2 linked regions of the Yarrowia lipolytica genome follow. The protein of the gene in region 1 interacts with the protein of each later gene in a pairwise test. Links are inferred from orthologs where the notes say so. Each region holds a gene or a part of one and is shown on either strand. Other genes may lie near its edges.

The links. The genes of interacting proteins can lie anywhere in the genome.
Region 2: the proteins of YALI1_E30073g (region 1) and YALI1_D27867g interact in a two-hybrid assay, tested with the Schizosaccharomyces pombe proteins (2 studies listed by BioGRID). The link is inferred for Yarrowia lipolytica from reciprocal best matches to the Schizosaccharomyces pombe genes sty1 and ptc1.

What each region holds. Positions count from the first base shown.
Region 1 is NC_090774.1:3,005,253-3,009,044, reverse strand, and holds YALI1_E30073g (uncharacterized protein), read left to right. Parts: upstream 1-1,766; coding exon 1,767-2,927; downstream 2,928-3,792. Other genes in the region: YALI1_E30109g (uncharacterized protein), read left to right, coding at 1-76; YALI1_E30074g (uncharacterized protein), read right to left, coding at 1,170-1,418, 1,472-1,585; YALI1_E30053g (uncharacterized protein), read left to right, coding at 3,740-3,792. UniProt on the Schizosaccharomyces pombe protein: Proline-directed serine/threonine-protein kinase involved in a signal transduction pathway that is activated by changes in the osmolarity of the extracellular environment. Controls osmotic regulation of transcription of target genes.
Region 2 is NC_090773.1:2,784,853-2,788,246, forward strand, and holds YALI1_D27867g (uncharacterized protein), read right to left. Parts: upstream 1,846-3,394; coding exon 823-1,845; downstream 1-822. Other genes in the region: YALI1_D27844g (uncharacterized protein), read left to right, coding at 1-91. UniProt on the Schizosaccharomyces pombe protein: Serine and threonine phosphatase. Has a specialized role in the heat shock response. May be responsible for the dephosphorylation of hsp90.

The sequences.
Region 1 (3,792 bases):
GGAAACTGGAGACGGAGGGATAGAGAAGAGTCTGGGTGTGAAGGAGATGGATATGGGAATTGATGACACGACATAGCATACATAATTATTTATACATTGCATGATTAATGATACAGGGGGTGGTGGTTGTGTAGAGCGTACTACTTGTAGTTGTAGTACAGTACAGTAAGTTGTCCATGGTATTTCCTATAGCAAAAAGTTGTGCAAGGACAAAAAAATGACGACATCCGCAGGATTCGAACCTACGCGGGGAAACCCCAAGAGATTTCTAATCTCTCGCCTTAACCGCTCGGCCAGGATGCCTGAATTTTAAAAAATAAAAAGCTCCCGTTACACCACAGGCAACAATTACATCACGTGACCCCCAAGAAAAACCGAGATTAACGGCTTATTGAGAAGTTAAATGATAGGATTTAATAGCAATAAGACAGTAACCTTGTTGTTTAAACAGGGGTTATTTTAAGCAACAGAGTCAACCAAATTGTTCTCATTCGCAGGTATACAGAATCCTGTGATGTTGAATTTGCAGTGTGGGGTTGGTTCATAACAAAACGAGAAAACAATAGAAGCAATAAATGAGATGCAGAGAGTCTATGGAAATGGGTTGATGGCTGACTGGTGAGCGGGTGGAATGTGATTGGTTACTAATATGTGAACTGCTTCTTCTGTCGTACTCCCGTTCTCTCCGACGTCTGAATTCAGATACGACGCCTTCTGACAGCAAATTAGATCCAAACATTGGGTCTATGATGCTGCAAGTCAAGGTGCCAGGTACATGTGATACTCAGATAAGAATATCGCAGTGGGTTTGTTCATATCTGTTGTGGTTTGCGAGTTATACGACGATATCTTTTCAGATGCTATTGTACAATACGAGTGCTCGTACTTGTACGATAGCGACACCATTTCTACGAATGATTCTCGTGTAGTGCTTGTCATTCTCTTTGTGTGGTGGAAAAGAGAACTCTGCGGTCTGCTGTTTGTTGGACTCTAAAAAGCCACCTGTGATTGATGGATGGGTGTGTACGTGTGTGAGGGGAACTACTTGTATGCCGTCTATAGCCGTGTGTGATGGATACTGTGCAGATGGGGGTGTATTTTGCTTGTATTTGTACATAATCGAGTACTTGTACAAGTACTGAGATATTCATTTACAGTATGATCATTCTTCAAGTCAACTGTATCATGTTCCCAAGTTGACAACATAAGCACACCCAATCAACGACAATGCGGCGATAATGAGACATTAAGTGGGGGGATATGAGGAGCGTAAAACGGAGTGATAACGAGCGGGACGGGCTGTGTGTGTAACCATGCTGGCACTCCCGGCTCTCAATTTCAATTCCCCAAGTTCGCCACCTTATATAAGCTGTTCTCTGGTGACCTAGCGTGTGTGCTTGGTTGCTGTGCTGTTCGTTCTTTTTTTGACGTCATGACACGGCACGATTCAACAAAAGAGCCGTGAACGCACAAGGGACGTCGAAAGAAAACAGAAATATGTAACCGGGGCCGAATACCGTGTACCAAAGTCGATAAATGCCCTCACAAGGATCGTAGCCACATTCAGAAGCCCCCCCCCAACCATCTCCGCCAGCCGCGTACCCTGCAGGTTGAAAATTCAAAATTGGTTTGGTGCAGCAAGCACAAGTTAGGTTGGCGATACTCTCGAGACACCACACACACCACACAACTCGCAGCACTACATCACCAAGTGTAGCTCGGACCCCTGTGACTCTCTCTACCGTCTCCCAGGAACAGCGCGTAACATGGCGGACTTTATCCGGACCCAGATCTTCGGCACGTGTTTCGAAATCACGTCGCGATACGTGGATCTCAACCCCGTGGGGATGGGAGCCTTTGGTCTCGTGTGTTCGGCCAAGGACCAGCTCACGGACCAGAACGTGGCCATCAAGAAAATCATGAAGCCGTTCGGCACTCCCGTGCTGTCGAAACGGACGTACCGAGAGCTCAAGCTGCTCAAGCACCTGCGCCACGAAAACCTCATTTGCCTGAGCGACATTTTCATCTCGCCGCTGGAAGACATTTACTTTGTCACCGAGCTGCTGGGCACAGACCTGCACCGTCTGCTCATGACCCGGCCTCTGGAGAAGCAGTTCATTCAGTACTTTCTTTACCAGATTCTGCGAGGCCTGAAGTACGTGCACTCTGCCGGTGTGGTCCATCGAGACCTCAAGCCGTCCAACATCCTCGTCAACGAGAACTGCGACCTGAAAATCTGCGACTTTGGCCTTGCCCGAATCCAGGACACCCAGATGACCGGCTACGTGTCGACCCGGTACTACCGAGCGCCTGAAATCATGCTCACGTGGCAGAAGTACGATGTGGAGGTGGATATTTGGTCCACGGGCTGCATCTTCGCCGAGATGCTGGAGGGCAAGCCCCTGTTCCCCGGCAAGGACCACGTGCACCAGTTCTCCATCATCACCGAGCTGCTGGGCTCGCCCCCAGAAGATGTGATTCACACCATCTGCTCGGAAAACACTTTGAGGTTCGTCAGAACTCTGCCCCGGCGAGAACGAATCCCTCTGGCGTCCAAGTTCCGAAACGCCGACCCCGAGGCCATCGATCTCATGGAGAAAATGCTGGTTTTCGACCCCAAAAAGCGAATAACCGCGGCCGAGGCTCTGGCCCACCCTTACTTGGCACCATACCACGACCCCAGCGACGAGCCTGTAGCCGAGGAACGGTTCGACTGGTCGTTCAATGACGCAGACTTGCCGGTGGACACATGGAAGGTGATGATGTACTCGGAGATTCTCGACTTCCACAATGTGGACATTGACGTCAACGGCCAGCCTCCACAGGGCCAGTTTGAGCAGGTCCATGCCCAGGCACAAGCGGCCGTCGCACAGAACGAGGCTGCCAGGGCTAGGGAACAGGAGCAGCAGCAGCAGGAGCAGCAGTAAACACCCAAACAATGTGGGTCAAAGACGGACAAGGCAATCAGTAATAGGAGGACAGCATGGCTGACGTGATATAAGTGATGTAATTAAGTGTAGGATTATGGAGCAGCGATGTGATGACACGCCATCTTATCGTGAACTAGTTAGGAACATAGCTCGAATTGAACAGATGAGACACTGACGGAGAGAGGGACGATCGTATTGGGGAAGAGGAGTACCAGTTCGTACTGTACTTGTGGTACGTAAAGCCATTTGTGAGATCGCAACTATGGAGTTGCACTGCAGTGGAGCTACAGTATGTACTGCATCTTGACAATCCACTCACAAACAATGTACAATGTTCTGTATCTATATGACACCCACACTACAGGAGGCAGCTTTGGAGGTGGCATGAGAACGCAACATCCCCGAACAAGGCACCCCACCAAGTGGCTGTGAACTTGGAAAGTCGCCATGATATCATTTGATCAAATATCACTGACCAGCAGTTCAGTCCAAAGAACGCATTAATACTTACCATCACCATCTGTTGCAGTTGTTCATCAGAGATGGCAACAGCTGTATGATCCCAGCTTGTAACCCACAGTACGACGACTTCGCGAGAGTTCGACGAATCGAAGAATTGGTACTGTATGTTTTACCGTGGCAACTGCTTTATACCGCACACTGGCTAACTACTGTACTTATACTTGCAGTCCCACATTACACAAATGCAGTAAGTCCCTCTATATGTCAATTATCCGTCTTCACCACACCTCACCTCCACCTTATATCTGTGATCTAAAAGCTCATCTTGTGTCTGTAACGCCCTCATTATGAGCACAATTCAAAAATACTCCGTCGTGACCCCGAGATCTCTGGGACTCGA
Region 2 (3,394 bases), on another chromosome or scaffold:
AAACAACGCAGGCAACACTACGGGAATCGCAGACGACGATATGGAGGGGCTGTTTGGGGACGGCTTTGATTTCGTCTCGTATGATCAATAAGTCAGGTTCTGACGGTGATCCGATGTCGTCTATTGACGGTTTTATTTATTTATATACATTGTGAATTATAGAAGGCAAACGTACAGGCACTGTACTTGTTCGAGTATGTACAGTACAGTGCTTGTAACTTGGTACATAACTGTAGACTGAGAACGAAGCCACTGTCGATACGGAAAGACCCGACTATTCCATACACTGACAGCCACCTGCCACGGCATTCATCGAGACATGTCTTACACCTTGAGCATCCATCCATCCGTTCATGGTAGACGATCAGGGAGATGACTTGTTGGAGAAATTTAGTCACAATACAACTGTACTTATAATCCCGCTTCTGACTACAATTGCCAGAGATCATTACTTGTACTTGTTGCTTCAGTAATGGAGGATCTACTCCAATGACAGTCAAATAACTTAGTGTATTGGCTATACAGGTTCCGGTGATGAAGGGGAGCATTTTCGGTCCAACGAGGAGCATGAAAGGTGCGAAGAATACCATCAACAAGTGGGCAAGACTTGAAGAATGGAAACAGAAGCTTTTGTGTTGTATGATTGAAGCTGTACCTCAGACAAGGAAGTCAGATGAAGCTGACCTGATGGTTGGTCACAGTTAGACAAATACAGGCAGCTTTCAGAAAAACTGCTAGGATAGCCTCAAAAGAACACAGCTCGGAGGAGGCTGTCCGACATGCGCTTCAAACACAGCTATTTCGTCACCCTGCCTTTGTCACTTATCGCAATTTCACCACCATCACAGTCAAATTATCTGTGCTAAAGTTCTCCAGAGCAAACTCCACCAGTATTCGGCTTCCCTCAACAGGATCTTCTAGTCCACTCACCAGATCACAAGCCTTCTGATCATCACAAACGTCCCACAGTCCGTCACAAGCCACAATCAGAAACTCGTCATCAGCAATGATTTCCGTCTCGGTCGTGTATGGGTTACCAATAATAAACTGCTTCATATACGTGTCTCCCAGAGCACGGGTAACAGCAAGCATTCCGTTGACCCGATTGCTGATCATCATTCCGCCGTTGTTGGTGACTCGTTTAGACTCATGGAGATCGGTGCCCTTGTGATCGTAGCTCAGCCTAAGGGCCTTGCCTGCTCGACACAAAATCAACCGAGTGTCTCCCACGTTGGCAGTGTACAGCTTGCGCTTGCACTCGGACAATGGAGCACGGGGAAACACGGGAGTGTAGTCCTTGGGTGAGTGATCAGAAGACACCGTCACGGGCTTTCCTCGAGAATCCTCCCATCTCAACAGAGCCACTGCTGCTGTGCATCCGGAATTCAGGTTCTTCTGCTCAATTGACCGGTCAATGGCCATGAAGGCAAGATTAAGCAGCTCTGGCACAGTCTTCGAGCTCTTGTCATTGTCCTGGTGCTCCAGCCCCTCCTCCTGCACGACTTCAGGGTCTTCGGTTGCAGAGTCTTCGCTTTTGAATCCCTCAGACTCCATAATCAGACTTTCCACCTCACTGACAACTGCCGTTGCGCAGTACTCAGCCGCTTGTTTGCCCGCATGTCCGTCAAATACTGCAAACAGCCCCGAATCGGGCGTGCCGCAAATGTTGTGTGCAGCCACATGATAATCCTCCATGGTCCGTCTACACCGCGAGTTTTTGTCCTCCGTAACGCCCACAGCAAACGATGACAGTGGCGAGTCGGTCACAGGCAGCCCGTTGTTGTTGGCCAGCATCGGATGGCCTTTGGCTTCATCTTTACTGTTTCGTCGAAATAGCTTGAGCATCGTTAGTATCGTGCGTTATTGTGTGTGTGTGTGTGTGTGTGTGTCTGCTGTTCCCGTCTGGTTTGCGTGGAGTTTCACGCGGCTTCTGAAATTGATCTGTCACGTGCTTTCGTTCGGTCGTGGGTCACGTGATCGCCTGGTTGCTGTTGTCGTAGATACCACTGCTTTTTCGACGTTCCGTCCACGTCTCTCTATCTCGTGTATGTGGAGACACACCACTCACCCCACAGTGCAAGGAAGTGGCAAAGGCTTATTTGTGGTAGGGTTAGGGTTTTTCGGACATTGGCGACCGAATGGGAATTGTTCTTCTCGAGTGCTTGTAGGTGAGTGAGACCGGGTCGACGGTGACAAAAGTGAGCATCCCCATTTTGTGTGTATTTCCCTTGAGTGAGGCGGCAGATGTGGCTTACTAAGTGGTGGTTTTTGGGTTCAACAACGGAGTTAAGAAATTTCACTTGAAGATTAAGTAGAGTCTAGTGAGGGAGGTGGTAAAGGAAGGTGTATAGTGCAAGTGGATTTGGAGGCTATAAAAGAACAGGGAAACAATTGTTAGGGTTTATTTGCCGTGGTGAACAAGTTGGGCTTCTTTGAATCGTGATTGTAGCACTAGTGCGATTTGTAGTCTGGCTTCAGTTTATGTGGAGCCTTCCGGAGTTAACTAAAGCCAACTGTGAAACAGGGGTTGATCTGAAACACAACAATTGACTGTAAGGGAAGTTGAGACGGAGGGGTGGGGAACCAATCAGATGATTATTTGTAAGTGGGATTGAATGATACATTATCTTGCGTAGGATTCTAGAAGAAATCTCTGGACTGAGCTTGTGTCTGGTTCTTATATTTAGCAGCTGATATCTGCACACGTCGCTGCTATCTACAAACGTGTGGAATCCAATTCGTCTCACAGAGATGCTAGGAAGATGAGAAGTTGATAGTTCAGTTCATCAGAGCTAGGACAACAGAGTAATATTAATTTTGACATTGTTTCATCACTTTACCCTGTTTATCACTACATGTTTTATAACTACAGTATGTACTGTACCATGTTCATACCATGTTTGATAACTACCATGTTCATCACTTTACCATAGTTGAAAGTGGAATCACGGTAAGGGTTCCATAATCCACAAGAGTAGTATAAAACAGAGTATACAACAGATAGAATACCGTTTAGTCTGTTATATGGCCCATCGTTGGATTCATATTGGTGTTATATATCCGTTTAGCACTATGACGCTTCATCTCAGTCTCACAACCCTCAACTGTACTGGTTACAAACCCAAGTAAAATGTAACTAAATTTAGGTGGTGGTGACTGCAGAAAACTTCATTGGAGAAGTCTGGAAAAGACACAGACCAAACTAGACTTGGGTATTACTTCAACATTACAACAATAGCTATCAATTGTCACACAAATATTCTCATTATAACCCGCTCAAATCTCTCCAAATATCGGTTCAAATAAGGTTTCGAGACCAACCTTATCTCTCACCAGATTTAAAATCATCATCTACTGGCTCAAACAGCTGCGCAAGAGAATAAACAAGTTGACA